Lonchura striata: one gene and its partners. The protein of the gene in region 2 interacts with the protein of the main gene of each other region in a pairwise test. Links are inferred from orthologs where the notes say so. Each region holds a gene or a part of one and is shown on either strand. Other genes may lie near its edges.

The links.
Region 1: the proteins of ATF4 (region 2) and EGLN3 interact in a two-hybrid assay, tested with the Homo sapiens proteins (2 studies listed by BioGRID). The link is inferred for Lonchura striata from reciprocal best matches to the Homo sapiens genes ATF4 and EGLN3.
Region 3: the proteins of ATF4 (region 2) and BFSP2 interact in binary tests that used the Homo sapiens proteins (3 or more experiments, as listed by UniProt). The link is inferred for Lonchura striata from reciprocal best matches to the Homo sapiens genes ATF4 and BFSP2.
Region 4: the proteins of ATF4 (region 2) and NFE2L2 interact in binary tests that used the Homo sapiens proteins (3 or more experiments, as listed by UniProt). The link is inferred for Lonchura striata from reciprocal best matches to the Homo sapiens genes ATF4 and NFE2L2.

The regions. Positions count from the first base shown.
Region 1 is NC_134608.1:25,775,612-25,783,847, forward strand, and holds the start of EGLN3 (prolyl hydroxylase EGLN3), read left to right. Parts: upstream 1-5,014; 5' UTR 5,015-5,199; coding exon 5,200-5,556; intron 5,557-8,236. UniProt on the Homo sapiens protein: Prolyl hydroxylase that mediates hydroxylation of proline residues in target proteins, such as PKM, TELO2, ATF4 and HIF1A. Target proteins are preferentially recognized via a LXXLAP motif.
Region 2 is NC_134607.1:24,137,652-24,145,630, reverse strand, and holds ATF4 (cyclic AMP-dependent transcription factor ATF-4), read right to left. Parts: upstream 3,091-7,979; 5' UTR 2,877-3,090; intron 1,930-2,876; 5' UTR 1,832-1,929; coding exon 1,615-1,831; intron 1,104-1,614; coding exon 256-1,103; 3' UTR 166-255; downstream 1-165. UniProt on the Homo sapiens protein: Transcription factor that binds the cAMP response element (CRE) (consensus: 5'-GTGACGT[AC][AG]-3') and displays two biological functions, as regulator of metabolic and redox processes under normal cellular conditions, and as master transcription factor during integrated stress response (ISR).
Region 3 is NC_134603.1:113,236,324-113,244,616, reverse strand, and holds the start of BFSP2 (phakinin), read left to right. Parts: upstream 1-4,976; coding exon 4,977-5,432; intron 5,433-8,293. Other genes in the region: TMEM108 (transmembrane protein 108), read left to right, coding at 1-150, 1,558-1,680.
Region 4 is NC_134610.1:22,647,829-22,655,310, forward strand, and holds the start of NFE2L2 (nuclear factor erythroid 2-related factor 2), read right to left. Parts: upstream 3,208-7,482; 5' UTR 3,166-3,207; intron 1-3,165. Other genes in the region: AGPS (alkyldihydroxyacetonephosphate synthase, peroxisomal), read left to right, coding at 3,319-3,512.

The DNA of each region.
Region 1 (8,236 bases), on a different chromosome or scaffold from region 2:
AGCCTTCTCTTCTCCCAGCTCTCTCAGCCTGTCTTCATAAGAGAGGTCCAGCCCAGATCTGGACCCAGCACTCCTTGTGGGGTCTCACCAGGGCAGAGCTGAGAGGCAGAGTCACCACCTCAGCCAGACACCTGGTCTTCCTTCTTGTTCATCAGATTGTTCACTCATGCCCAAAGGGGTCAGTCCCAATGGTTCCCATCCTTCCAGCGCATCTCACTTGTGGTAGATAGGGACAGGCGAATGGAAGATTTCGGGATGTGACAGAAAGCAAGACCCTTCCTCCTCATCCTGTGATATGTAATCCATTACCCCCAAGACACGTAACCCCACCTAACCCAGTAGTTTTCCACTCCTTACTAATCCTAGAGATCCTACCTTCTTCCTTTGATGTAGCAAAGCCCCCTTGACTATTTAACCTCACGAGATAAGGTAATAAACGCCATTTGACCATCCACCACATTGGTGTCTGGGTATGTCTGTGGTCCGAGTGGCCCGGGCGAGGCTGGGCTGCCGTGCTGTCCCTTGAAACCAGGTCGCCTTACCTTCTCATCTGAAGGCAACACTCACTGGACCTAAGATAACTTCCCAAATGACTCTTTTTTTTTTTTTTCTTTTCTCAAAATTGCTTTTCTGCCACCTTAGAAAAGGAAAACAGCCATCAAGGAGTCCAAAGTGTGCCAAAGCAAGTGCAAAGAGAGGTGCTGAATGAGTTGTTAGCTCAACTCAAGCCATGACAGACACCTTTGCCCTCATTCCTGATCTCATTGTGGCATAATATTAAAGGTGCTGACAAAGGAGCTCTGACAAGTCTTGTGGCTGCATTTGGAGGACACATCACACCAAAACACAGCTGTTCTGCCAGGAGTTGATTCCAGCACAGCAGGCAAAGGAATGGTACAGCTGGTGATGCCTCAGCTATTTCTGTGTAAAACTAAGCCTCCAGTGAAGATGGATGTAAGGCTCTGGACTTTGCACTTTTGAAGGGACTGAGGCAGAAACACATTCTCTTCTGCCAGTGCTGCGGAGGAGAGGTTGAAACCTGCAGCAGAGGGATGAGAAGGACAGGTGGGGTTAGTGACCTCTTAGGAAGCCATGGCAAGGTGTGGTAGCACTGGTGTGTCATCCCTGTACAAACACTACCTGCTCCTTGGCCAGAGGGGTTATATAACCACACCAACGTTGTCAGAAAAGTACCTTCTGTAGGCAGAACTTCAGTTATTTTCTCACTAGATCATGAGACATTGGCTCTACAAATTATGCTATGAGGTATTAAGAATACTGTTTTACAGTTTCTCACTGATATAAAGAATTCTCTTCACTTGCTCTTGCTGGGGCTTTTGCAGTTCAGCCCTTGGCACTGAAGAAGTCTGGCTTTCCAGCAGAAAAGTCTGAAAACAAGACTCAAAATGTTTAAAACTCCCTGCTCTAAAAAAGTGTGAAGCATTTCATCTGTAAATTCTCTTGTCAAAAAAATAGCATTAGTGTATAACTAATATCCAGGCTTGACTGACACCAATTATTCTAATCCTCTAAAACAAATCTCCTTAAAATCATTCTGCCAGCTTGCTAATGTCCTGTTTTAGTCTACTGAACTCTAATGTGTGCTATGCTGGCAGTGCAAGCAACAGATATGCAGGACTCAGAAGTTAGAAGTTTTCAAAATTAGATTAAATGGAAAATAAGAAAACACAGAATTAATTTTAGAAGTGAAAAAAATATACACTGTAAGGATAAACAGAGCTTTACATGGCAGAGGGATTGCCCATATATAATTGAATGATGTAGGATTTTTAATTAAAGTGTGGTGACACCTTTCATGCCTGAGATGCACAGCACTGTAAACAAACTTTATGCATGTCCAAAAGAACAGATGATGTGAATTGCCTGATTTCACACCCTCAGTCCTTTGTTTATGCCCTGTGCAACACTTAGATTGTACATGCTCTGTGATAGCTTTGTTTGGAGAGCAGTGGAGTGGTCACAAGAAGTGCTATGGGAGGTACAATGTCTGGTCCTGTTCCAGCTCTTTTATTCTTCTGGGTGGTTCTAACACGCTGTAGTATACACTGAGGACTGCTTTTCCTTTTATTGTCAAATTAATGTCTTAGCTTGGGAATTACTACAGTTGCAGCCTAGCATCTCTCAACTCAGCTTTGCTACCCCTAAGGAGAATGAGAGAGCTCTTGAAGAGTGTCTGTGGGCTAGGCAGAAATTTGTGCTTTCTTGGTGATGATCAAGCTGTGTGATAGAGCCTGTGACTGCTCAGGTTACAAACTATAATGAAGGAATGAAAACTGTTCCCGAGCGCACTCTGCATGCATGGAGAAGTTCTAACCTAAGCAATCACAAACTCTATCACACACCTTCATTATCATCCTCATCAAGGGACAAAGAGATGAAGTAAAATAGAACCAATTAATAAATAGAATCAGTACTCTTGTTCCTCCTGATGTTTTATCTTCATATGGAACAGTAATGCATCTGACTGCTATTTAAAATGCTAGTATGAAAAGCACATCATGCTTCAAGTGACAAAACACTTTGTCCACCAGAAAACCTGATTTGCCAGCAAATGGCAGTGAATGCCCACCTGAGGAAGACATGACATCAATGCTGGAGGAACAAATGTATTTACAACTCTGTGAACATCACTCTGCAGCTGGGGCTGTGGACTCAGTTTTCTAAGACAAATCTCTAACTCCCTAAGGTGACTTTTTCTGATGGAGATCTGGCATCAGTCTAACTCGTAATTTCAAACTTTCAAAAAAAGAGAAATAATGCTGTAAAGACCAACTTCAGCTATTGCCAGAAGGCATCCCTCTTAGTCCTTGACTTGTTCAAGTGGCATCATTACACTTGATAGAAAGGCTGGAAGTTCAGCATCTACAAGTACTTGATTCTGGTACAGGACTGTATATTTGCATGTGTGTGTAAACAAGAAAAGGGGGAAAATCAAAGGGTTTTATTTTATATAATAAAAATGTGTAAACAGTACAATAATGCATCAACAATATTTCCTAATGTATGCAAATTTCATAACGTTGATACTTTGCAGTTGAACTAATCTTACATCCCTTGCCTGATTATGACAACTGCTCTTAACCTATCATACATTACTGATTTTTCAGATAAGCATTAAGGGATTAATAAGATTCATAATTGTATCTTATTAATTATAACCCCACTTTAATGTGAAGTGTGTATCTAAATCAAATAAGGTCCTTTGATAGTTCATATCTCACCAGATATGAATTTATCTGATATAATGTTGCTGGTCTCTCGACAGAGCTGTCAGGGAATAACTTTAGAGGATTAGACCTGTGCTTAGTGCTGTGCACTGAGGGGTAGATACCACTGGATTCAAGGAGAACAAACGTGGAATACGTGACCCGCTCCTGCGTATGCCGGGGCTTGGAGTTGCAGCTCGAGCAGCATCAGCAGCATGGACTGCTGGTAATCCCGTCAGCATTCGCGACGTGAAGGGGAAAAAAAGAACCAGCACCTATTTTGCCTTTTTTGGGGGTGAAATGTGCCGGTTCCCAGCCGGAGCCGTGTCAGTCCCGTGCCGTGCCGTGCCGTGCCGTGCCGTGCCGCTGTGCCGGGCGCTGCGCGGGCTCCGTGGGGCGCATCCGCCACGGGCAGGCACATCCACGGGCCGCGCCCTGCGGGCTCCCGGCCGGAGCTCAGCCCGTGGGGGTGCGGAGGGGTGCGCGTGTGGGCGCGGAGCCCGCGGGGCCGCCGGGGCCAGCGCCGGGGCCAGCGCCGGGGCCGCCGGGGCCAGCGCCGGGGCCAGCGCCGGGGCCAGCGCCGGGGCCAGCGCCGGGGCCAGCGCCGGGGCCAGCGCCGGGGCCAGCGCCGGGGCCAGCGCCGGGGCCGCCGGGGCCAGCGCCGGGGCCGCCGAGCAGGACGGACGCGCTCGGCACACGGACGGCCGCGGGTCTCTGTGGCATCGGGAACTTCACAGGCACCGACCCGGGCACGGCCGCCCTATCCCGCCCGGCTTGGCCGCAGGGAGCGCCTCTCCGCAACGTGACTTTGCTTTGGTTTTGGCTTCTGTAGAGGTTTCTCTCGTTTGTTTAGCAAATCCCGGGCGTGTGCGAACGGAGCTGAGCGGAGGTCTGCTGCTCGCCTCTCAGGAGGCATTTTACGCGAAAGCGTGCTGCTGTCGAGCAGACCCAACAGCGGCCGCGGGACCGTACTCCGTGGCCGGCCGCTGCAGGGACAGTGTTACCGGCAAGGGGCACGCGGGGGAAAGGCGAGTTTTGGTTTAGAACGAATTTTGTCACGGTTTGACCGCAGCTGTCCTCTCGCGGCACGAAGCCGCCGACGGTCCGGGAGGTGTTGCCTGCTACCGGAGCCAAGCAACCTGGCGGGCCCTTGGGGATAAATAATTCAAGGGAAAGTACTGTTTTGCTATGTAAACCTTTTGTAAAAGGTGCGTTCTTCGGCCAGAAAAACTGTGTCTGCCGCGTAATGCAACAGTTCCGTCTGGCGCTGAAACTGCCGCCGCGGTAGGCGGAGGTAAGGCGGCCGGAGAGCCCCGGCGGGGCATTGGCAGAGTTCACCCGGACCGTTCCAAGAGCTCCGAGCGGCGGAGCAGGGCGAGGCGCGGGGGTCGCAGCCGACATGCCAGGCGAGAATTCCTCAATGGCGCTGCCCACGCCCACTCCGGGGGCGCGCGGGACGGCGGGCCGCGCCCCCCGCGCACGTGCGGGAGCCCTCGCCGCGCGCTCCCCGCGGGCCGGCCCCGCCCCGCGCCGCGCGATTGGCCGCCCGGGCCGCCGCGGGCGGGAGCGGGCGGGGCGATCGCGCCGGGCGGCCCCGCCCACGTGCGGCGGCGCGAGCACACATCCCGCACGTAGCCGGCGCGTTAATCAGCGCGGGGCCATCTGCCGCCCTCCTCGCCGCGGGCGGGGGCTGCCCGCGCCCTTCCCGCACGCCCCGGGCGCTCCCGCGCACTGCTGGGGCGCCAGCGGCAGGAGCGCCAGCGCGGGGCTTCGGCAGCACCGCCGCTCCCGCAGCGCCGGGCCGCGGTGCGTAGCCGAGCCTGCAGCGGCCAAAGTTTTACCTCGCCTCGCCTGGCCTCGCGCCGCGGCGGAGCCCCTGCCCGGCTCGGTCTGGAGCGGACGGCGGCCCCACGGGCATCGCCTCCCAGCGCGGGCGCCGGCAGAGCAGCGGCGCGCCCGTCCCCGCCGCGCCATGCCGCTGGGACACATCATGAGGCTGGACCTGGAGAGAATCGCCCTGGAGTACGTCGTGCCCTGCTTGCACGACATCGGCTTCTGCTACCTGGACAACTTCTTGGGGGAGGTGGTGGGGGACTGCGTGCTGGAGCGGGTGAAGCGGATGCACCGCGACGGGGAACTGGCCGACGGGCAGCTAGCCGGCCCCAGCCGCGGCGTCGCCAAGCGGCATCTCCGCGGAGACCAGATAAAGTGGATCGGAGGCACGGAGGAGGGCTGCGAGGCCATCAACTTTCTCCTCACTCTGATAGACCGGCTGGTGATGTACTGCGGGAGCCGGCTCGGCAAGTACTACGTGAAAGAGCGATCCAAGGTAAGGGTCCGCGGAGCCCCGACCTCCCGTCCGCCCGCCGGCACGGGCTCCCAGCCGGCCCGACCCGCCTCGCAGCTGCCGGCGGGACCCGCCCCAAACTTTCCACGGGCACTCGTCCGTGGCGCGTCGGCGCTATCGGCGGGTGCCCGTGGCTCGGGCAGTCCCGCGGGGCTGTCCCGCAGCACCGCCCGGGTGGCGGAGGCGCGGTGCGCTGCCCGAGGGACTCCCGTGACGGCAGCCGCTCTCCAGCCCTTGCCGCCGGGTGCGGGGTCCCGCGGAAAGCGGGGCCGCTCCCTGCGGGTCCCTCGCCCCGCCGGTGCCAGCAGCGCTCCGGGGCGGCTCCTCGCAGCTCCCCTTGTTGGGTTTTCTCCGGGCTTTACCGCTGCCGGACCCCATCCAGTCCCTTGCCTTTTCACCTGTGTGACACCGGCCATCCCTTCGCAGCCGTCCCGGGGGCTCCTTGCTTCTCGCAGTGGGGCTGGAGCCGACTGCACCCCGGTTCTCCTTGCGCTCACCCCAGGTGCGGACAGGGGCGTACCCCACCAAAAACGTCTAACCTTGGCTATTTCGGGGGGGAGCAAGGTCTCCACACTCTCCCTGGGAACGTAGCCAGCTCTGATCCGATTGTTAAGATGTTTTCGCCCATGTATTATCCTGCATAGTTTCGCGGTTCCGACTCTTGTCGCCGTTCTACAGCTGAAGAGGTTATCGTTACCGCATTGAGTATGGCCAGAATACGGGATGTTTAGTAGTTTGAGCGCAGCAAACTTTTGTTTTAAAGAGACAAATTGCTTTTTCTAGGCTTTCTCAGAAATGAAGGGGACACTTGTATTATTAGTTTCTTTCCCAATGAAGTTTATTTGCACTTGCAATGCCATTAGTGTGGAGTTAACTCGTCTTTTCTTTCCTTGTCTGTTTTGCTACGGCAAAGTGTACTAACTTGGAACTAAGTTTACTTTGTTGTCCTGAATACTGAAAACATCCTTATTTCTTTATTTCTGACTTGACACAGTACATTTTCAAAAGGTCCGCTGCTGTTAGAGATATGCCAGAAACAAAAACAATGAAAGTTTTAAAAAATTACAATAGGGAGAAGCTAGGCATTTCTCTTGATCCTAACTTGCACTGACTAAGGGCGTGTGTGAGTGGTATTGTGATTCCCCCCTGAAAAATGATGAAAAAGGTACAGTGATATTTACCAGTTGCTTGGGAACACACTGAAACCTTTGCATGCATCCCCATGCATTTACACACGGTAGTGGGAATAGTAAAAGTTGAAACATTGTTCCTTATGCTTAGCTCTTTAGAATTAGTGATCATCAATTCAGTTAAAGCTTGGGTAGGTATGTTTTAAAAATGTGGGTAGTTTGGATTTTACTTATTCCTGTTGAGAGCCTTGTATTAGGAGGCATAAATAACCATCCTGCCTTGGCACATCTTTAAGGTCATCCTTATCCTTTCTCCGGGTGATTTCTGTTTACTACTGAAAGTGCATTTCTGGCTAAGGGTGTGTGCGCAGGGGTGGATATTGAGGGGCGTTATTTAAAAGCTGGATTGGTGTGAAAGGAGGCTGTCCAGACTTTTTACGAGGTATTTAGAAAACAAATCATCTGGATGAATGAAGGCTGTTGGTGCTGGCTGGGAAGAAGGGTCTTTTGGGCAGTGGTTTTGGGTTGTAGAGATGGTTTTAAAACAGCGTTTTGGTGTTTTTGAAGGCATTCTTGTACAAATAGTAATAAAAAATAGAACATAACTTGTTTTATAAATAGGTAGCAAGATATTTACTATGAAGAGAGACCTCTGGCTCTTGTGACTTAATGTGAAATTTGTCAGAATCCAAACAGCACATGGAAGTGCTGCACAAGAGTCCAGGACTGAAAGGGACTCAATATCTCACTATTGTTTGCAAAACCAAATGCAGAGAAATTTTCATCAGTATAGTAACCAATCCCCTTGTTATAATAATAAATACCATGGGTATGTGAGGCCCTGGAATAGCAGCTGCTGTCTGTAACTGAGACATGGGATGCCTTCAGCAGAAAGATTATTCCTGTGACTAACAACTGATTACTACAGTGCATGCAGGTTCCCATATTGGTTTAAGACATCTCTCTTCTACCATTAAACCTTCCCATTCTGCTTATCATCTGAAGTCTTATTAATGCATACACACAAATCCCAAATTTAAATTCAGCAAATTTTTATTTTATCTGGTGGATTATGTATGTAAATGAATGCCCACAAAACTTTCACAGCTTAAGATTTGTGGATATGTGGGGTGTTCATGGGTGACTGGACCAGAGCTGCTTTGTGGGACATGTGCTGTTGTAATTTATTGTTTTGGCATATAGATATTACTCAGAACTAAGAGCTCAGAACAATTTGTTTAAAATGTAAGCCTTTAGGTACATGTTAACTAAATTTGTCATGAAAATGTACTTATGTCATATCAGCCCATCATTATTTAAAGGTTTATACTTTCAATAAGTAGTGTATGACTTTAGTCTTAAGCCTATGTGTTGGAAGAAGGTGAGAATGAATTTATGTCAGATTATGTCAGTTTAGTGTGAAGTGCTTCATATTTTTGTAGCTACACAAATATAAGTCCTGAACAACTTTTGTCCAATAAAGGAAATTTTCCTTTCAGCTAAATTAGAGGAACAAGTCAGTTAGGATTGTG
Region 2 (7,979 bases):
AGTTCCAAGCACTCTGCACTTGCACTGTACCCACCACCCAGAACAAGCAGCACAAGTGACACACTGCTCTCACTAGACACACAACAGCTTGTTGTGCTTGTATTTACACCTAGGTGTGGTTCAAGTCATGCTGGTTTTACAGGTACCACTCATCACACGCCATCATTGCACATTTACTACAAAATCATTTATTAGACAGCAATACACAGCTTTAGCAGGAAGCTTATATACAAGCACACAACACTGCTGACTACCCTACTCGGGGACTCTAGCTCTTTTGCCCTTGGCCTTGCGGACCTCTTCTATCAGATCTTTTAAGTACTGAATTTCCTTACTAAGGGAATCTGCTTTCTCCTTCAGGGCCTGGTTCTTCTGCTCCAACTCTCTGCACTCCCCAGACAGTGCCTCCTGCTCCGCCCTCTTTTTCTGCCGGTAACGTGTGGCAGCAGTCTTATTCTGCTCCATCTTTTTTAGTTTCTTATCTATTTTCTTTTCTCCTTTCACCTTTGCTGACACTACCTTCTCTGCAGGATGATCGTATGGTTTGGACCGCACAGAGCCACAGGGGGCATCTGCAGGGAACTGGTTGCCATTGGGGGACCCAAGTGAATTGGTGGGGCTGTGTTGGGGGGTTCCCAGGTAGGAGTCTGGGCTCATGCATATTCCACTATCATCAGAGTGGTTCTCGTCCTCTTTCTCAGACTTGGTGATCACCACCACAACAGTGGGGTACTCCCGTTTTCTTTCTCCTTCCAGAACATCCACTTCGCTACCTAGCTCTAAACTAAATGAGTGGTCTGGAGTGGAAGTGAGAGACCCTGGGGAGAGGGGAAAAGACCAAAGGGAAGTCAATGGGGCCATTGGATCTGCTCCAACAGGGGATTCAGGGAGATGGGTGATTACATTATTTATCAGTGGAAGTTCTTTGTTGTGAAATTCCTGGATGGTAGCATTAAATAGATCACACGTGTCTTCCAACGTGGCCATCAGCTCGTCTGGTGAGACGGTGGCTTCCAGATGTTCCATACCTAACAGGGCATCAAAATCAAATTCCTTCAGATCCATCTTCTCCACCATCCACTCCATGCCAGAGAAGGCATCCTCTGCACAACACAGAAAGTAAATTACCACTTCAGTAAACCATCACACAGTGCAACTCAAGCTCATGAAAAATCTATCAGTTTATCATCTTGCATGTTTCTTCTCTCACGTATTACAACACTAAGAGTAAATCATCAGGAAAAAACTCTTTCATTAAGCTCCTTAAAACTGCAGGGTACAACATTACCTCTCTTGTGACATTACAGCCCTCTTATTTAAATACCAAAAGAATTCAAGGACATTTGCAACACACAACCATGCTTTCTTATTGTTACCTCTGCCAAGAAAGAATACCATTGACAGCTGGTGTGTTATTTCAAGGCCAACAGAAGAGGCACTTTACCATAACCAGCAACTATGTCCAGAGTAAGCAGTGTAGCATACACTCTTTCCAGGCCCAGATAACACACGTGAGATTGCATTCGGATTTAAGAAAACCTAGCAATTTATTTTTAACTGTAATGTTGTGGTACTATGAATTGGCGTCCTTTATGAAAGTAAGTAATACCTTACCCTGACTGCTATCTATGGTGTTGCCTAAACTGTCCACAGCAAGCCAGTTGGAGGAGACTGCCTTAGCCTTGTCGCTGGAGAACCCATGCGAACCGAGGGGCTCGGCCACCTCCAGGTAGTCATCTAGGAGTCCCAGACTTTCCTCAGCCACCGAACACGGCTGGCTGAAGGGGGATATTGAATCCCCCAACAGCATCTCGTTGTTCAAGAAGCTCATTTTCGTCAGCTTTTAATGCTTTGACGTCGAAGGATGTAGACAAGTAGAAGGCTTTTTCGTCGACTACAGCAATGCTGCTGTGCGATGCCGTGAAAAACCTGCGAACAGAACTCGCACCCATCAGTATTTGGTTTGACCAACACATTGAATATTTTAACCGAGGGCAGCTCAGTGAGTATGGCGGAACTCCGCAGATTATCCCGCTTCTTTATTTCTGCGCGGCTGCCGCACGTCCCGCGCCTCCCCGAGGGGCCGGCCCCGCCCTCCCGCCGCCATTTCGCGGTCCCGCCGCCATCTTGTGCCCTGCCACGTTTCCACCGCGGCCGCGGCCCGCACGGGGCCGGTGAGCGCAGACCGGGGCCGGTGAGCGCGCACCGCGGCCGGCCCGCACGGGGCCGGTGAGCGCAGACCGGGGCCGGTGAGCGCGCACCGCGGCCGGCCCGCACGGGGCCGGTGAGCGCGCACCGCGGCCGGCCCGCACGGGGCCGGTGAGCGCGCACCGCGGCATTCAGCACCGCCGCCGGTGACCAACAGCCCCCGCCCGCCCAGCTGCGATTATGGCACGTGGGCCCTGGACTCAAAACCCTACAACCCCCAATGCCCCGTTTTCCCCCACACACAGCCGCGCTTTCCCGCGCGAGAGCAAGGAAACCCTCCCTGGGAAAGTCCCCGTACTCCCACAAAAATACCGGACAGTAGGTTTACGTAAGAAAATGGCAAACTTTTTCGAAATCGAGGTTTCTCCAACGATAGGAAACGCAGAGAACTCCTCGTAAATTCTTTCTAAAGGGCATTTCCTGCTATTTCTGACGCTCGCCGCACCCGGGGATACTGAGCTCTACAAGGATCTCCCCACCTGGGAGGCGTAGCTAGGTAGTTAATGTATTAATTTGGTATACCTAGGTATTTCTACCCGCTCCCCGTGAGATCAGAACTACCACCACGGGCGCAATAAATCCACCCCAAAAGCCCACTTCAAGCGGGTAAGAGGGCGCCTATCAACACACAGGAGACGGAGCAGCCGTCCCTCACAGACGATACTCACGCCATGGTTGCAGATGCCGGGGGTGTGCTGAGGCCGCCGCCGCTGCTGCTGCGCCTGCTGCACTGGCCGATGCCGCCGCTGGCCCTGCCGCCTTAAAGAGCCATGGCGGCCGGGGAGGGGGCTGCTCGTATCCGCGCCGCGCGGGAGGTGCTGCGCACACCGAACCAGTCACGCACACAACCTCCGCTCACGGCCACAGGAAACAATGAGGTGGCACCGGCGCCGCTCCGCTCTTATATACGAGACGCCTCACCAGACCAGCTGCGGCGGTGAGGTATCCTTCCGCCGAGCATGACCTGCCTCTCATCAGCAGCTAAGGGCTTGTGGCCTGTCTTTCTGGGCTTCTCTCCTGCTGTTCTGCTACGAGTTAAACACAGGAGCCGCCGACAAGACGCCACAGCACCATGACGGGACAATCATGAAGGGACTATATGATGTCTACGTGCGCGCATGACACCCCCCCTTCGGGCGCGGCTGTGCCACGTGACCGGAGCGACTGAGGACGCTTCCCCCCCCGCGCCGCGGGCAGCTCTGGGGGGGAATTTTACCCGCCAACAAAGACGCGGAGCTCGCGCGGAAGACGTCACGCAGCTCACCACGTTGGAAGGGCGGCGCTCATTGGCTAGGGGCGAGTCGTTTACGTGCCCCGTGAGCTGTGATTGGCCAGGGCTCGGAGGAGACCAATGCGGAGGGGAAGGGGAGAAGGAGCAGCGGGACGGGGAAGGGAAATGGCGGCCGCACGGGGTTGGGTAACAAGGATGATGGTGGGAGCGGGTCGAGAACGAGCAGCCGGGACGGGCAATGGCGCCCGCCCACGGCAATCCAGCGTTTCCCCTGACGTGCCCCTCTCGAAGCAGTGTGTGCACCTCACTTGGATTTCCAGCGGCTCCTTTTGTTCCCCGCACAGCCCCGCTGAGGTTTGGCGGGCGCTGACGGCTGCGGCCGAGGCTGAGGCGCTGTCATGGCGCCCCTGAGGCGGCTGCAGCCCGCCGTGGCTTCCTGCTGCCTTAGATAACGCGCTGCCTTCCCTCCCTGCCTGCCCCGCACACGGAGCGTGTAGATTACGGGCACTCCGGGGCTGTTTGTGTGTGTGTGTGTGTGCAGGAGGGCGTCTGCCCGGAGCCTGCCGGCCTCACAGCGGCCATGGCGCCGCACCGACGCTGAGAGCTCCTGAGGAGCCCGGCTGCAGAGCCGCGCTGCCGAGCCGCCGGCAGGGTCAGTCTAATTAGTGCCTTCAACCCACGCAGGGGCTGAAAATTAAGTTGGTTATTCCACAGCTGAGGAATAAAAATGTCGTCTCCTGCCGTGCAGTTTCATGCTTATGCAGTTGCTTCTCTTCTCCCTGTAGACATCACTCGACTGGTGTGAGCATTAATGGATCACCTATAGAACCTCGCGGCTAAAAAGGGCAGTGACACCTTGGGTAGCTTTCCAAGTGCGGTTTTGCTTTTTATCTGATCCAAATCAACTCGCTTCTAGGAAAGAAGTCAGACCTCTTCCCCCACCCAATTCCTGCTAAACTAAACAGCTCCACCAGCTCGCCTGGCCCCCGCTGAGACAGCTCACAGCAGGAACCTCACACGGGTCCACAGTTTTCCACTGGCTTCAGTTCACCATCCCTTCAGTCAGGTCACATAAGCACTGGACAGCTCTGGTGAGCTGGGAGTCTCAATACCTGTGTCATTCCTCACTGTGTCAGTTATCCAGCTTCAAAAGGTTGATTTTCCACTTTGCCAGCCTCATAGCACCATCAGCTCTGAGAGCTGCCGTGGGACTTTGCTTGTTCAAACACCATCATCCTGCAGCTCAACTTGCTCTCAACTATTTCTGCAAACGGCTCCACTATTTTCCTTTTAAAGCCTCAGTAGTATTTGGGTAAAGCCTTCACTTTATTTGCTCAGGCCTGGGATTTCGTAAAAAACTGGCTGATGATTTGCAAGGATGGAATGTGACCCAATTTTTACTTTTAGCAGTCTGGTCTTAGCACTGTCGCTACAAAGCAGAGTATGTCACTCCACATTTGTAATGAGAACACTGGCTGCTGAATTAAAAAGGGCAATTTCCCCTACATGTTGGTTTGTTGCCGTTTTACTTCGGTTGTTTGGTTTTGATTCTTTCTCTCTCTCTTTGTCTCTCTTTCTTCCTTTCTAAGCACAAAATTTGAAATGACTCATTTAAATAGAGGAGGCAGAGAAAAATGTCCTCCAGTGCCAAAAACCACCACTGTGGCAGTTGAGCAGTCTGAGATAACTGTTCTGATAAATACACTACGGAGGAGGCAGATCTCGCCTCGAAGGAAAATTGAGAGGATGCGGCAGCTTTTAAAGACGCTGAGCGGGTGATGGGCTGTGTGGATGGGTGGACAGCACTTCCATGTCCTCACTGGCTAAGGGAGAGCTCTCATATCCACAGCCGTGCCTGCCTTCCCCTCCTCTGAGTGAAAAGGGCGATTGTATGACCATAATAGCAGCTAAACAAACAGAAATGCACCCAATATTTATACACCCAATCCTTCATCATGAAAAGATAATTATAGATTTCTCTGAAAGGACTCTGGGAATGTATGCGCAAGAATCACGTAAGCAAAAATGAAGTATGTGATGAGGAACTTAACCCAGATCTGCCTGTTTCCTAGCCGCCTGCTTTCCCTTTTGTGTGTGAACTGAGATGGAAATTAATCTGTATTATGAGTTCCAGACAGATTTTCTGTAACAATCTCCAATCCAGAAAATGAAATCAAACAAGCCAGAAGCCAGCTGTTTAGAGAAAGGCATGTTTTTCCCTGTTTGCTGCAGGACTGCAGAATAACTGTTGTTAAATAATTTCATTATCTACAACCCCAATTCATTAATTATCTTTCTTTTACAGATATTATGTCAGACATATCTCCACTGTGTCTAGATTTTTTAGCCGAGGTAGAAGACACTTTTTTTTTAAAGTACAAATAACAATTTTTGGGAATTTTTGTACAAAAGAAATTACAACTACTTTGTGAGCACAGGATTGCTAGCTAGTCTTTACTAACTCAAAAGTGTCTAAAAAGGAATTTCTTTGCAATATTACATATTTATTGCTCAGAGACTGAGCAGCTCTGAAAAAATTTAATTTCAGCACAAAAAGGTGGCTTCTGAGGGAACACCAATTTGTGTGTATGGTAAGTGAAGTCCTGCTGTCATGTTAACAGCTTTATCACCATGGATGTTATTTTCCTGCCCTGGGGACCTCAGCAAAGGGAACTCCTGGGATAAGTGAGATCCATCCTGACACAGAAACGAGGGGCCAGCTGCAGGAGAAAGGAGCTGCTCTTCCAGAACTCGCTGCAGGAGAGAGGCCAAGGACCTGGCTGGGAAGCAGTGAAGTGCCCTGAAAAATCCAGCACTGCAGAGAGCCACCTCCAGCCAAACAGCATCACCAGGAGATGGAAAACTAATACTCCTCATTCACCCTCCTCCTTCCTTAGGATGGAAGATCAATATATGGGTTTTAATAATTTCTTTGGTTTTTGGGGTTTTTTTAAGTACACATTGCAAGGAAAAGATGTTTTCTTCTTCCGCCAGCAAGAATACAGGAGACAAATGCTGAATGCTGTTAGTAAGCACACCAAAGACTGAGAGGACGTAAATGTTTCCATAGTAACATCCCCTCCCACAGTCTAGACCGGCTGCATAGGATGCTCTCAGGGACTGCCAGTGGCTGGGAAGCTGGTGGCCCTCTCTAGCAGGGGAGCAAGGGGGGTGGGAGGAGTGGGAATGGCTGGGGCCAGGAGGGGAACCAGTAAAAGTAACAGCGACAGAGATGTCTGCTCTTCTCCAGAGTGCTGGGAAAGCTGCAGCCAGGGAGAAGGTGGGCTGACACTGCACTGGGAGGGTGCATGGTGGCCATGGTGGCACTGCGCAGGCAGCTTTGGGCCCCCGCTGAGCCTCAGTGCCCCAGAGAAGGAGCAGATGGGCTTTCTGCTGGCCCTGGGCTCTGCTGGGGTGCATGGGGAGGAGGGGGCACTGCCTGCTTTGCAGAAGGGTGAGTGTGAGGGCAAGCCCCAAGGGGATTCTTGTGAGGGATAACCTGAGTCCTTTGAACCTTCCATCAGGAGGAACAGGAAGCCTTATCCCTCACTTCAATGAACAAAGCATTTCCAGAGACTAGCAGGAATTTTCCCTGAAGACAGAGTGCTGAGAAAAACACAAGGGAGGAATGAGGAAAGGCAGAGAGACATTTTGAGCAATTTTGAGGGAGAATTACCTACAATCTCTATGGCACAGACTAATTCACAGTGCTTGCTTGCTTCTTTCCTCATGTGGTACAAACAGATATCTGAAAGATCTTTTCTCATTGTAAGCTCTTTAGGGATTGCTTTATAGATGTTCCATTTTAAAACTAGATCAAAAAGCAAATATATATGATTAAAGGTCAGGCTGGGAGATATTAACATCCATCTTTTATTGCATACAAAATAAGTTATCCATATGCTCTGCCTCGTTTGTTTTGGACTAGTACACCAAATGGAATCTCTAATAAATCATTCACTGCTTACCCACTCCCTCACTGTCTTCTGTTTCCATCCTGCTGTGTAAGTATACCTGACATTAGAAATGGGACTAATAAAAACTAGGATTAAATCTGCTATTTACATTTGCAACTTACAGTTCAATTATTTCACACAGTTATGGAAACAACCCTGGTTGTCCACCTACATTTTTCTTACTGAACAAACTTGGGCATGCCAAGCACATGCTGATAGCTCACAAAATACCTATCTCCAGAGGCTTCGTTACTCAAAATCAGCCAGGCTGTGGCCAGCTGCCACAAGTGAAAACATTGCGCAAATCTGGTTAGAGGGAGGTGAGTTGTAACTTGCCCAAGCATGAGTTTCCTAAGCAAAGCTACAACTGGCTGAAAATTATCTTCAGCAAAAAAAAAAAATGCATGAAGGGGTGGAGAGGAGGGGGTGCTGACTTGTTCAGACCATTGGGGGATATTTTTAGTTGTCTCACTGTCCAGCCTTGTTTTATTATGGTGAAAGACTTGGGGGTCAAGAATAATCCTTCATGTGCATTAGCACATGGGGGCTCAGTTTAGCACACAAACAAAAGCCTTCCAATTATC
Region 3 (8,293 bases), on a different chromosome or scaffold from region 2:
CTGCTGACAGTCTGCTGCATGAGAAGGAAGAAGAAGACATCTAACCCAGAGAACAATCTGAGCTATTGGAATAATGCTATTACCATGGACTACTTCAACAGGCATGCTGTAGAGCTACCAAGAGAGATCCAGTCACTGGAGACTTCAGAGGTACCTCGCTTGCAGAACTGGTGTCTGGAAAATGTAACTGATGCCATGCTGGGAGGAGGGGAGAGGAAGTCATATTAATAAAGCCTTGAAATCCCCACAGATGTTCAGGGGTACAGCTTTTAGGGAAGGACTCACTCCTACACATGTATTGGATGGGATAAACATCTCAGCAAAGCTGGATTGCCATCCTATTCCCAGCCACTGCAGATGTGTTCTGCATTGCTGCGTGGTGACGGGCGTTAACCACCAAGAGGTGAATTTATTCCTGGGCTTCTCTTCCTTGTGAGCCTATAGCCAATGTCAAGCCATGCCATGATGTCTTAAGGAGAGCTCTTTAGGCTGGCTTATTACTGACAATCAGTCTACTGTGCATGTGCCACACAGCATAAAAATAGGAGGCTGCTGGAAGTTAATAAAACAAAGAAATTTTGTACATTTATGTCTCAGGAGCTGCCTGCAACTTCTCAAATACCAGTTCAGGGAATTAGTGTTCCCAATACAAAAGTAATCAGAACATCAGTATGTGAGGGAGTGTGGTGGTGTGGTGTACACTCATCAGCCTTTATTTAAGAGATCTGACTGGTTTGGTGGGATTATTCACACATGAGCAGGTGATCCTACTGATAGAAATCTATTCCTTGGCTTCAGAGACAGAGAATAATTCAGTTTCATTCAAAGATAATTAAAACCTAGAAACAGTGGAGAGTCTGAGTTTATGATAAAATGATTTTCAGATCAGCTATCTGACTAGCTCATATGACTAAATTAAAAAAAAAAAAAGTTTAGAAAGGAACCTCTAAGATGTGATTAGACAGTCACAGTCACTTCATTAACCCCACTTTGCTGGCAATCACGTTGCTCAAACTAAGGCAGGACCTGGTCTAGCTTGCCCAGAATCAAATGTCAGGCCTATTCACATACAGGATAGTCTTCAAAAGGTGACTCATTTAAACCTCATCAGAATATGACTGAACTGGAGCATACTCAGGTGGACCCTTATGTGTGGCTTTCTAACTGTAAAAAGAAGTTGCAAATGCATCTTTGAGGAGTCAAGCCCTGCTGAGAGATAGGAAACACATGCAATGAGTCAACAAAGTGAAAAAAAAAAAAAACCAAACCAAAAAAGCAACAAACCAAGAAATGTGAAAGCTCCAAAGGGATTGGAAGTTTGGTGCAGTTGACTTCTGGGTCCCCAGGCTCACAGAGAATTAGCAGAACCTCAGAGGAACTTTTCACTCACAGCTCCTCCTGCCTGACAAAGGGAAAAACCAGCTCACCAAACCCGGCTCTCCAGAGTCACAGACCACGACATTCAGGCACCTTTGGGGGATCGAGAGGAATGCCCTGTGTGCTCCTGGAGGTTGAAGGGTGTGAAATGCTCAATCTGCTTCTTTCTTTTTCCTTCAGGACCACCTGTCTGAGCCGCGCTCCCCGGCCAACGGTGACTACCGTGACAGTGGGATGGTCCTGGTGAACCCCTTCTGTCAGGAAACGCTGTTTGTGGGACACGAGCAAGTCTCTGAAATATGACCCCCCACCTGCCCCCGTACTGCAGTTTCATCTCTACTGTCTCCAAATTATAAATAAATATATATATATTATAAATATAACCTTTGTGTAACCCTGAACTACAAGAAATGTTTTCAGCTTTTCTTTTGTCCCTCAGAATTGTCAGCCCCTTTTTTATAAGTGTGGTAAAACTTTACAGAACAAACTGTGGCTTTATAAAATAAAGGTATTTCTAAGCAAAACATTTGTCAAGTGGACTGAATCCTTTCTGTGACTCCAGTACTGCCTGAGCACCAGCTGGGGTGAGCCCCTTACTGTCCCACTTCCAGTCTGAGCTCCAAAACTCTTTTATACGAGCAACAACAAGAATGGCCCTTTTTTCCTGTGTAAATATGTTAACCACACTACACATTGGACTCACAGCTGCTACACTTCAGCCCAATAAGCCTAGAATTATTTCCTGATCATCAAACAGCCTCAAAAGAAGGCATGTAGAGTGCTCCCTTCAAAAGAACAGAAAATTCCTTTCAATTTATCAAAAATCTTGCAATCTGGTGACTAGGGACTACCACCAATTGAATGCTGTGGCTTTGACCACATTTCCACTTCTCCATTGTTTTATTTATTTTTTGTGTTTAGACTGCTGGTGCCACTGAATCAAGTTTCCTCATACCCTCTTCTCTTCTCTGGGACTTTCTTTCCCCCCTTATGAAGGAAAACACAGCATTTTGGAGCAAAATGGCAATTCTTTCCTACCCTGTTAAGAGCTAGATTGCAGACTCTAATAGCGTTAGGGGAATAGTAAGGGTGAACAAAGCTTAAATGATGGATTAAAAATAGGTTGCTGCAAGGCAAGAATAAGATAGAACATGGAATGACTTGGCCCAAATCGATGCTCTCTCTTTGAGTAATCCAGAACTGTTACTGTGGGACCAATTCTCAGTTTTGCTTCTCAAAATGCCTTTTTCATTCAGCAAGTGAAATTACTCCTGTCCTTTGAGGTCTCGTCCTCCTTCTCCCCACCTCTGGCCACCAGTTCTGCTAGACAATTTTCTGCCGTCACTCCTCACTTCATCAGGAGCAGGCTGACAGTGAGGGGCACTTTAGCCCCTGCTCCAGCTGGCTGCTCCTTGCCACTGGCTGCTCAGGTTTAACACTTGGCTGCATGAAAGGGAAGCTGGAGCAGGACAGGGTTAGTGTAGCATCATTAACCATATGCCTTGTTCAAGGTGAGGCACAGTTGCTACTAGAAAAGAGACTTACAGCAGTGGCACATCTGGTCCAGCTGTTCCCACTTGCCGCCAGGGTCCCAGTGACTGTCAAGCAACATGACAACTTGACTAAATGATGGTTGGAATCAGACCCAGACTTGGCTGAGGGGGCCACAGAGGCCTCGTTGCTCCTCCCCTCTCCCCATCCCACACATGCACTTCTGCTGTGCCAAGGCACAAACCTGAATGTGGACCACAGGCTTCTGGAAACTGGAAGATTGAAATGTTACAGGGACTCTCCTGTGTATTTGTTTCTCTGCTCAGCATCAGAGAGTAATGCAGGCCTTTCTCATGAGGTCATGGGGCAGGCAGGATGACAGGACTGTGTATGAACATGGATGGGCACTTTGGGAATGTATCTTTTCACCATGGGATAAGTGCTATGCAATATGATACCTGTGATCCTCATGATCAATTACTAAATAACCTCCTAGAAACCACTGTTTGATAGGAGAGTGTTGCCAAGAGCAAAAGCAATCCCACAAGGATCTTTGTTTTTATTTAAAGAGGGAAGTGGACAGAGAGAACAAGGTTACAAAAAACTAAATTAATTTCTTTGAAAAAAGAGTCCACATTATTACATTTGTTTTCTGTACATGGTATTACTTTTGCAAGGGAGATTTTCTAATTTGACACAGAGCAACTACACTGAAAATACTGTGTAAGAAATATTGGAGGATGCTTCCCATTTAACCAGAAAAGTTTGCTTGGTAATCTAAAGGCAGAATACCTAAACTAGACAAAAGTTTTTGCAAAGCTGAGAGATGCTGTGCTGTTCCCAGTCTTCACACAACCTGGAAATGGTGACCTGACTTTAAGCAGCCTTTCAATTCTCCAACTTAAAAAAACAAGCAAAATAAACTCAGCTATCAACCCAGTGAGCCAGGATTAGGCACCAGTGGAAGACAGGGATTTCTGATTGTATCCTGTCTCGCCAAAGACTCACCACTGCCCCTGCACAAACCTACACTGCATTAGGGCAATGCCCAACATCAGCACATTACAATCGTGCCTACAAAGATGCACACATGGTGATCCTGCACTGGAACAGCATCCTGATGTGAAGTATCCCTGTGTGTACGTAGAAAAAGCCAGACCTAACATTGTGTTGTGAAGGATTGCGCTGTACCAGGACCACATCCTACTTATTACTTATTATTACCTATAAACCCACCTGATCGCTAGTAGCTAAATAATAGTGACATAAAAAGAAGAGCAAGGGAAATATCCCTCTTTCCTTGCAATAAGTCTCTAGGATTGTTTTGCCCTTTTCTTTTAATTCACAGTTGCCTCACTTTGTCACCACGTTACACAGGCCAAGAAGGGAAACATGTCCTTGCTGAGCACATAAAGTGCAATTGATTATGTGAAGTTAAACTGACTGAGAAGGGGTGGACATGAGGGTGCTTGTCCCTATAAAATCTGCTGAGATTGTGTCAATATCCCTTGGGTGGGTGGTGAAGCCAAATTGCAGAGAAACCCAGAAGCTGCAGCAGACACAAGGGAACATTCAATGTTCTACAGTGGCAAAAGGCTGGCTCGGCTCTGCTCAGCTGTGGCCCAGTTGACTCCACGGAGGTTTGGGTTGTGCTAAGTTAGGAAACATCTTGCTGATGTAGACTATGTCTGGAGCAAGCACTGGCGTGAGAAGCAGACGCGTTTGTAGTGTATAACTGGATACCTGTGTTATAAGGGAAGGAAATCGCCCGGGTGTCAGCGTAGAAAACACTGCTGGTATTTTAACACGTGCATTGTACTGAATCCCCGTCCCGCTGTCCCCGTAAACACCATTGTGCTTTTCATCTGCCACGTTTGCAGCAGCAGCAGCAGGGAGATTTCGCCTGAAATGGGATTGCTGACCCAGCAGCCGTCCGGACAATGGGACGGGTGCTCCCAGGCGGCACAAAGCCCCCCTTCCAGAAAGCCGCCGCACAAAGCCGAAATCCCGGGCGAGCCCCAACCTGCTGGGCTCGGCACATCGCTGCCGCCAGTGCGGGGCCAGGCGGCCGGGCTGAGCGGCGGTGCTCGGCAGGCTGGAGCGACAGCATGCCCTTGCCGAGGCGCCGGTCCTCCTTCCTGGGGCAGCAGCCCTCCAGCTCCACGGCGGAGAGCTCGGGGCCGCCCGGCCGCCGGGTGAGCGTCGGAGGCGGAGGGAGCCTGTCCAGACCCCCCGGCGTCTACGTGGGCACCGTTCCCACCGGCGGCGTGAGCAGCCTGGGCACCCGAGTGTCCCGTAGGGCCCTGGGCATCAGCAGCGTCTTCCTCCAGGGTCTCCGCAGCTCCGCCGCCGCCGTGCCCCTGGCCCCGGGGCTGGATAAGGGCAGGGGTCTCTCCTACGAAAGCTTGAATGGCTGCTTGGTGGAGTACATCGAGAAGGTGCGAGCCCTCGAGCAGGTCAACCAGGAGCTGGAGGAGCACATCAGAGTCTACCTGGACAAGAAGGCGGCCAGCGTGGGCAGCTGGGGAGCGCTGCGGGAGAACTGGGAGGCGATTTACCACCAGGTGAGCGCGGAGCGCCGCCGGCAGCCGGCGGGGCGGGAGGGAGTCATCAGCAGCTCCGGGCGGCCAGGGACCAGGCTGCCCATGAATGCCGTCTGATTCCGAGGCGAGGAGCCTAGACAGAGCGTTTAAAATCTATCTTCATGATAATTAGCATTATTATGCCTATTAAGCGGGAGAATTGCCTCAGGCGTCATGTGCATGGGAGCGATTGAAATACACCCCAAGGCGCCAAAGTCTGGGTTGATTAGAACGGGTGGTGGTTTTTTCCTTTTTTTTTTTTTTTTTTTTTTTTTAATTTTATGTCTGTGATTATTACACTGAGTATCAAAATTATTGAAAGAAACCTACTAGGACTGAATTAGGTTATCTCTCAACATGATATTACAAGCACGTTGAGGGGTTTTGTTTTTTAATCAGCAATTCAGATTTTTACTTCATTCCCTTGTTGGCTTAATAACATTTTCAAAAGCTCTATTTATTTAAAAATAGCAATTACATTGCTACAAATGAGTGACTCCCTTCCTTTCCTTTGCCATCACCCCCACCATCCCTCACTCCCACCTTCTCCATACAGCACAAATCTTTATAGTGAAATAGTGTCTGTATTGACCTCATGGACAAGAAAAATTTAATTTTGCTGTCAGTAAGGCCTCACAGGCTGATGTCCTGCTTGCAGCAAACACAAGGCTCTGTCTGCTGAGGTCTTGGTGCACCACACAAGCCTGGCTTCCCAACTCCCATCCAGTGGGAGCAGACAGGATTCCACAGACCTGGAATCTGGCATCTCACACACCTCTCCCAGCAGCGCTTTTGTAGGCACAGAAAATGGCATCACTGGGTCTTCACAAAGCCTGAAAGCCAACTTTAAGTTGCCTGGGACAATTGTGTGTTTAAACTTGGGCTAGCCAGTTTTACTTTGCATTTTTAGGGCAGGTGTTCTCCCAGAACACCACAAACATTGCTTGAACCCTGAATGTGTTGGCATAAGCTGTTGTACAAAGATCGTGTCAGCAGAAACACCCACTTAAGCACCAGCTTTTAAAGTTGCTATTGGTAAATGACATTATTGCCTCCTGAAGGGAGCAGCTGCTGAAGTAAAGGGGTGCTCTGAATCTGGGGTACAAAAAGCCATCTCCTTGAACCTATTCCCTCCCTGGGGAAGATAGGGACTTTGATAGGTGACAGGGAGTTAATCCTTTGCAGCTGCCATCCCATGTTCTCCAGACCAGTGTCGCATTTTGTAGCTGTAGACCTCATCTGTAAATCCTACCAGGATTTATGGTTAAGCCCAAAAATGTGGGACCATAGGAAAGGACCATTTAGGAAGGACTGTTTGATTTTTCATTACATAAACCTCCAGCATTGCAGTGCAGATGAACCTGCAAATGTATTAATTTTTCATCCAAATTGCTTTCCTTTCAACCTTCCTTTGTGGTCATCCTTGCCTCTACCTCTTTTTTATAAATTAATAAGAGCATCTCATAATGAAATCTAGCCTGAATATCAGGCTCTTCCCATATGAAAATCAGAAAAATAAAGCCATGTAGTAATAGCATTTGTGAGTTGCATAGAAAAGAAGAGAAAAAGATTAGCATCATCCGTATCTATTTAACTATCAAAACACATCAGAGAACACATGAAATCTTCTGAATTGCTTCAATTAAATCAATAAAAGAGGCATCACTTAGTGGGTTTTGTCTTTCACGGATGTGATCCAAGCTGTTATGTTCAATTCTGATTAATAGATTTCTTTGCTTTTTTTATTAAGCATTTAACCAGAAATGAAAGTAGGACCCTATCCAGCCCAAACACCAATTAGCTCATTCGTCTTGGAGCTAATTGGTAAAATTTTGCCAGCATCAACATTGAAACCACCACATATATTAAAATAATGTCAAAATCAGTTGTGGCAGAAACAGCGGAAATCACATGAAATCCGAACCCTTTTGCCACAACACATCCCAAACAGAAAAGGAAAAGGCATTCAGAGCAAGGTGTAGCAGAAATGAGAGAAACCTGGCAGATACATTCCTAAATGTATTTTTTTGTAAATGTATTCAGATTTTCTGCAGATGTACACATCTACCTTGATTTCTTTAAAAGTGGCATACCTCATTTTAAGCTTCTTGTAAAATCTGAGCACTCATTTGGATGCCAGGCCCATGGGTTCAGTGGGGAGAAATGCCCAGCAGTCATAAAACCCCTCAGTGCCATTTGCATGAAGCGGCTATGAAAGTTTTGGGGGAAAAAAACACTCAAGCAGGCACCTGTATTAGCCCAAGCACTCATGATAGGAACAGTTTTTTAACAAGAAACAGCAAAGAAAATTACACAATTGGGAGGAGGTCTAAGCAGGAGCCCTTTCCTCTTTCCCTGCTAATGAGAAGACAAGGACATGGCCACAAAGGACTCTCCTGGTCTCAAAATCACAAATGTGACAGGCCCATCTCTGCAGTGGCACAGGAGAGACACCAGCAGACCTGAAGTCCTATTTCCCTCCTGCCCTTCCTGGAATGTGCTCCAGCATCCCAAATTTTGGGTAGTTGCATTGCCAGCAAAACCAGCTCGGTGCCAGCATATCTCCTAAACACAGAGCTAAGGGAAAAAAGGTGTCAGCAAGTGACTCAGAGGGTGTGTGTGAGTGCAGGATCCCTCAAGAAAAACCACTTGTGTTTCTTTGCAATTGTCAGAGCTATGGCTGCAGCAGGGGATCACTAGTGGGAGCTGAATGATGGAAAGCCACTCTCCAGCTCACAGGGTTAATTATCTGCTTGGGCAGCTGGCTTTTAGCAGAGCAGGTGGACACACACTAATTGGGACAGGCACAAAGTGAGAAGATATTTGCAGAAAAAGAGGGAAAT
Region 4 (7,482 bases), on a different chromosome or scaffold from region 2:
CAGGACTGGGAAATTTCTCATGTTTCAATAACACTTCTTTGAAATGTTTCAAAATTCTTACTACACTGTAGTAACACTGTACCTTCTCTCCCAGATGTATGTATAGTTGCTACTTGCCATCAATTAATTTTCTGTATCTGATACCTACATCTCAGGGGCTCTCATGCTATATTAGGTGATTCTCTACAACCTGTTCCAGACTCCACTCAAGGCAAGAAGATTTATCAGGAGAGTTTTTCCTTTGCACAGCCTGTGTGCAGGTTGCCTAGGAGTGGAGTGTTTGTCCTGAGAGCATGCTCCGTCCGTGTCTCTCATGGGACCACTGCGTAATGGAACTCTGAGACACCTTGTTATGAAGACCTCTCTGAAACTTTACAGTACTTTGGCAACTTTATTTTGTTTACACTGTAAACTGGCTTTAAAACTATTTTCTGAAAATGCCAATGTGCAGAATTCTGGAAATGCAGGCCTTTGTTGGCATGAGGTGTCACATTGAGCTGGCATCTCACTTATGCTTACAGATGCACTCAGTTTTGTGGGCAGAACAGCTCATGGAATGGCAAAGGCTGCTGCTTTGGCTCAACAACAATTAGAATACTTCCAACTACTGCATTGTAGATCTGCTGGTATTTTTACTGATAAAAGTTCTCTTTGGTGTCACAACAGATTACTTTCAAATTTGTTTTCCCTAAATTTTCTTCTTGGCACTACTACTTATCAGAATGAATTATATGGTTAAATTAGATACAGTTTTTGAAAACATGCCAGTGGTTCACTTCAGCAAATGAGAAACAGTGACCTCACAATCTGACAGCACATTATGTTTCTGCTGCTTTTTATGAAGATTGCCATCCTTCCAAGGGAAGCAGGGATTGCATGCAGAGCACTGGTAGGAGCTTAGCAGTCTTACTGTAAGAAAATACCTCTCTCACACGAAAACAAGGTGTGACTTAGCTATTCCTCTGCTTTGCAAAAGACAAGGCTCTCAAGAGTTTCCAAATCATACCACTACGTCTCTAGCATCTCCAGTTAAATCTTCGTTCACACACATACTTAAAGACTAATTTGGAACTTTTTTGAGAAACAAGTTGTGAGGTGATTACAAATATTACTTATTAGATTCTAGTTGAGGCCAATTTTTAACTGTGAAGCTCTACAATTAGGATCAAATAAATGACCAATTGGCTCATTATTGTTCCTTACAAGTGACTGTGATCCAAGGAAACATTCTAGGAAAACCTGAAGCCTACTACAGGGGATTTGGTATTCACTTGGCAGCATTCAGCAATGAGGAAAGTTTTAGGTAACTGTGACTCAAAGTCCCCCCAGCTATACCCAGAACTTCAGTAAACAATGTGAGTGGAAATTCAGTTGAGACCCATATTTGTTCCCTACAGACTGCCTCTGCAACAGCAGACAGCTAAATGTGGATATGCATGAGTTAATCCAGAAATTTGTGTACAAATTATTCACGGGGGGAAATTTAATTCCATAACCAAACTATTGAACTGCCACAACAGCTGTTTATGTTGCACTAATACCGGAAACCTAACTTAAGCCTGAGTGCAACTAGTGCAATCACTGCCCCAGGAAAATTGCAGGCTACTTTCTAGAGAAAGTATACAAAGGGTATAAAATCAATTAGCAATGGTGAGAATAAAAGCAAAACAAACAGTAATAACACCTGGGTGGCTTTATGAACTGCTTCTCATCAGTAGGCATTACTGGGGTTGGTCCTATATTGTCACGCAGTCCATAGTGTATTTATCTTCAGACCAGTCTCTCTGGGGAGATCCTGTTATCCCTGATATATATATGGGAGCTGTGACTCAAAGAAGCACCAATATTGCATGTGAGGTGAGGAACTGAGCCCAAGGCTCCCTGCTTGTGCAGTACAGCCTGCTCCCTGGGGAACCTCCTGCAAATTGCTTAGTTCATGGAAAGGTACCATGTTGAAGTATCATGGGAGAAATAGGTCCTTAGAAGAGGTTTGGAAGAGGGTAAGAGCTTTATCAATTTTCCTGGGATTGTATTTCACGTAACAAACATTCGATGAAGAAATTAACAAATAAATCAACATTGATAGACAAAATGTCATTATCAAACTATCAGTCATTGCGTAGACCCCAGCAATCTACTTCAGGACTTCCAAAAAGCTGGTCGGTGCCAGTCAGTGGCAAAAGCCGATCATGAAAGTAGGTCCTGTGTGACAACTGAGTAGACTACAACATGTGAGATACTTCATGCCACAGAGGAAAAGCTGGAATTAATCTGAGCAGGTCACCTTGCCCTGAGCAGAACTGCTTATAATGGTATGTCTGATAGATGTATGTTGTCTGTTCTTAACGCTGCTAATGAAGGTGACTTGGTTCTCTACTTAGGCAGACTACAACAGTTTTTCATTTCCACTGCCATCAGAAAATAGTCTAATGCTAATACTGAAGTTACATCTTGCAGTTTGAGCTCATTACTTCTCACCAACCTAGCTGAGTCATGACGGGCAGATTGCTTCCTTTCAGTCGATAGCAATCTTTTACATATTTGAAGACAGAAAACCTATTTTCCTGTTCTACTTTAAAGTATTTCCAGTTTTTGCATCCTTTCCTGAGCATTCAGGTGCATCAAGGTAAATTCACAGCAGAAAGCACCTGGGGCTGGCATCAAATCTGCATCTCCCCTTAAATCCCAGTTGCCCTCTTCAAAGTGATGCTACAAAGTGAATCCCTGATGTTCTCCCAGGTCCCAAGTACGGTGAGGATGGCCGGTTGTTGCAAGGATCGGCCCAGTGATGGGTATCCCATACAGCAGGCGATGCATTCCCAGCAGTGGGTCAGCAATCATTTCTGGGGAGCAGATCAGCAGCCGGATCCTCCCCCTCAGGCCAGCCGGGTTGCACAGGCACAGAGGCACCTGGCTCGGCAGCCCTGCGCTCACCAGGGCTTTGTGGCCCTGTCAACAGCGATGATAAAATCTGCAACACCTGTCGGATTATCTGCCACCACACCGACCTATTTCTTAAGTAACCCGCCTATGCTATTGTCATTAATTAGCATTTCATCATTAACTTGGGCAATCCTTATCTCTAAAGGACACTCTGTGTTCTCTCCCGTTTGTTCAGCGACCCAGAGGGGCTGTAATTACAGCACCGGAGGCGGGAATCCTTACCGAACGCTTTCTCCCCGAGCCCGGCGCTGCCGAGGCGCGGGCCGGGGCCGGGCGGGGGCGCGGCCGGGCCGGGCCCGCGCGGGGAGCGCCGGGCGGCGCCTTCCGCCCGCGCGCCCTCTCACCCGGCGGCGGTCGCGGCGCAACGCGGAAGCGATGGCGGCCGCGGCCGGCGAGGCAGCGGGAGGCGGCGGCGGCTCCCCGTCCTCCGCCCGCCGGCGGCTGCGCATCATCTCCGGGCACCTGCGGGGCTCGCCGCGGGCCCCGGGGCGGGGAGCGCTCTCCCCCAGCCCCTGCAAGGCGCAGGGCGGCTCCGCCGGGCCGGCCTCCGGCTCCATCCCGAAGAAGCGGTGGGTGCGGGCGGGGGTCCCCGCGGGCCGGCGGCGGGGCCGGGCCGGGCGCGGTCCCGGAGCGCGGGCCGGGCTCGGACGGCGCTCTGCTCCGGCCGGGCGCGGGCACGGGCCGGCGGGGCCCGCGTGGGCTCCGCGGGAGGAGGGCGGCTGAGGCGGGTGCCGGTCGCGGGTGATGTACATGGCTGAAGCCGTTCGCCGCTGCGGGCACTGGAGGAAAGCGAAAGAAGGTGGTCTTCAGCCTCTTACCTGTTTCTGTAGTAAGTGGGATGGTGTTAAAATGGGAAGTCGTTCATGGTCCTCTGATTCACGTCTGTAGATGTGATGGAGAAGTTTCGTTTTCGTAAAATACGTCGAGGCTTCTCTAATGAGGAATGCAGCACGTGTGAAGAGCAAGGTCTGTGGTCTCTTGGTCCTCTGCTGTTCACAGAAACCTTCAGCTGATGTGAATACTGGCAGAGTGTGCTCACGTGTGAGGTTCTAACAAAACTTTCTTAGAAATGAATGATTTTAGAGCTATCAAATACTTTTTCTGGTTCTTGCTGTCTGTAGTAGTGAGTCAGATCACATGACACCAAGGGAAAGCAGTCAAATTCTCTAGTTCACAGTTATTTCACTGGCTCTTGGCTTTGTTTTTCTGCTAGATTTTTTTTTTTTTTAAATGCTATGATTATAATACCATTATGTAGTTCCATGTAACTTGTTATTATGAGGCCTCCTTTCTGTTGGAGTGGACTTGTATTAGTTTTGTGACTTTCTTCTCCCCCTTTCTATCTTATAAGAGCATTTTAAGGCTTAGGATGTAGACAACCTCCTATTCTCTCTCGAACTGTGTACAGGAACTCGTTTGTTAGTGTATGGGCGTAGTCCAGAGGCAAACTGGGCAAGCAGTGAATAGAGGAGCTGTTCCTCGTTTGAGGAGAATCCATTCAGCCTATGCTTTGCTCTCAACCTTTTCAAAAAGAGAGCAAGGAACAGCCTGGATTCTCCTAATAGGCAAGTTGTGGCCTACAGTCACAAGCTGAACTTGCCTACTTTGGGAGGACTGGGATGTCATGCACATATGGTCAGATGTGAACAGCTTTGAAAGCTTTTAGTTCTCATTGAGGAGAATTTGATGCTTGTGCTGCTCACTGGGACAGATGGGTTGTTCTGAAGTTGTTGCCTTCCATATTGAGTTTTTGTTTGGTTTGAATCTAGGAAGAAATCACTGTTTATGGAAAAATACCAGCTTAGCTGTTTTTCAGGGATTTATCTTAAATGGATTGCTGTATAATTTCTGCAGCCAGTTATTGCATATGTGAAAAGCAGGAGAAAACAAACCTTTGATGCCTGTGACCTGAAAGATAGCTTCTTTCTCTGTGGAAACATAGGCTTGGGGAACTTAACATTTGTACTTCTACAAGTTATTGATATTGCTCTCCCCTATTAGGATTTGTTACAGGATCATAATGGGTTAGTATTTTTACTGTAAATAACTTGATCTGGACTCAGAATGAAAATTTGCTGTGGGGGTGTAAGGGAAAGCTTAGCTTGTTCTTCACTAGAGGTATAACTTTCTTGCTGTACTTAGAATGCTGCCTTTTTGTATGTGTAGAAACAAGAAAAACATAAAGGGATCTTTATCTCTGTCTTAAGTTTCTGTCTGAACATCTGAGGTATGGTTGAAACACACCTAAGATGCTGCATGTGGAAATTCTGATACTTCACTATAGCTAGGCTATGTGGATCTTCGTTGAGCTCATGTTTGAGGATAATACCCAGGTTTTGGAGTGATAGAGGAGTGAGTTATGTTGCCTACACTGATTTGGAGTGGGAAATGATGAATGCCTGAGTCTTGTTCTAGTGACTCCCAGCTAATCTGGAGCTGATTTTTATTTGCGATGCTAAGAAGGTTGCTGGAAAAATCTAGTAAAAATAACTGACCTAGAGACTGTGCATGCCTTTTTAAATAATATTAGGACAATCCAAAGCTGGATGATGTCTTCTTGTCTATTGAATGCTGATTCAGCTCTTCTGCCTCTTTTGAATTGTTACTTTAATTTTTCCTAGCAAAGCTGTAGCCAAAAGTACCTTAAGCGAAGCTTTTGTTCTTTACACCTGTTGCATCTTTCCTGTAGTGTTTGAAATAGTAGCAAAGCTATAGACGCTACTTTAGCAGATTCAGTTCCACTCTCCTCATATTACATTTCTTCTGCAAGTAAATTATTTTTTTTTTTGATGGAAAAAAACCGTTTGTAGTACTTTAGGTCTGTGATCACAGAATTTTTTTTTCCGGCTGTTTTTCTAACAGTCAGTAGACAGTGACTTCTAAAGCATGGCTTTCTTGTTGATAGTTCATGATCAAACTGTTAAAGATCTTATCCAGACACTATTTCTCACCAGCAAGGGGAGTATGAAGAGCACATGGTATTGACTGAGTCTGTGGGTCTAATCTAATTCTTCTTGTTTCCAAATAAAAATGCCTTGGAAGACTGAGCAATGCATATTGATGTGTTTCTACTTTTTCAAGTTATAGTTATTGAGATGGAAAATTCCACAGAAGACAAGCAACTATCTATTTGTTTGAGTATTCTCTTGAGGGAAATCTTAGGCACTGTGAGAGTAGAGAGATGTTATTTCTCAGTGGCATTCCTGGCTTAAATGTAATATTTTAATTGAGTGTTGCAGTGAAAGCTGGAATCATAGTTACACAATGTGTGTTGAAGCCTGAAGAAGATGATAGGCATGCTGAAAAAGTTGGTAAAACGATTGAGCTGGAAAATAACTCTTCCTTGAAATTACTTTTCCTGTCCTTTTATGTTATGCTGTTGACTTTTGATGACTGGTAAGCTTGCTTTGCTGGTGAGACTTGAATTAAAAATTTACTTAATCTTCAGAATAACTGTATATACGTGAAGTGTTCAACTTGAACTGCTTTGGAAGCAGTCAGGTGCTACAACTTCCTAGAACAGAGTTGTACCAGAGTAACTGCTGGGTGTGCTCAAAAGTATGAGTGCCTCAGAGATGGATCATGCACTGATGCTGATCTCAAGAAAACTTGTATAACTTACTCAAATCAAACTTTCTATTATTTAGTCTTTGTTAAAAGGGATAATTCATTTAGATTAACTAAATGTTGACTCAGTAGCTTGTAGGCTTAAAATTTATTCTGTTTTGCTGCAACAGAAGGCTGGACAGCATATCCTGATTATCCTATCTCTGTGGAGAAGCTGCTTTCCTAGGGACGAAAAGAGGGTTGTGAATATGTTTTAATTATTGTGGGCATCCTGTTACACAGGGAAAACTAAGGGATAAGCATGTAGTGAGCTGTCTGCTGTGTGTCAAGTTCACAGGCAGGTTGTTCAGGGTAATGTGTTACCTTCTTCATATAGACACTTGAAATTCTTGCTGCTAACGATTATGATGTTATTATGCAGCAACATCAGTTAACTCCTAAAGAATTGGTACCATTTGAATATAAGTGTCTTCAGAGGGGCTTTGCACCTTACCCCCAATACTCAGAGGAATCTTTATAATAAGGACTTCATCCTTTAGAGAACGGTGGTTAAGCAACATGTGTTGCTAAGATGTATCCTGGTGTAGCTGACTTCTGAGTTTAAGATGATGAAAAAGGATGAAGAAGGAAAGGGCTGGTGCTACTTTACCACTCTTAAGAAATCAGAAGGGTAAGAACCTGTTGCATTGAGGAAGGTGTGGCAGTTCACAGGAGGTTCTGTGATTGCATCAAAGCAATTAATTATTAGTCAAAGTTAATACCTGAGGAACAGATAAAGAAGATTCGCTCATGGAAACAATAACTTATAATAACATATGTTACAGCAATTCCTGTCTATAGCTCCAAATAGCTTTCATACATTTCATCTTCCTGGCATGCAACTATAAGAATTTAAGTAATACAATATTTATTGTTAGATAATTTGATACCAAGTTAGCCAAACTGGATATATTAATTACCTAATTTTTATTA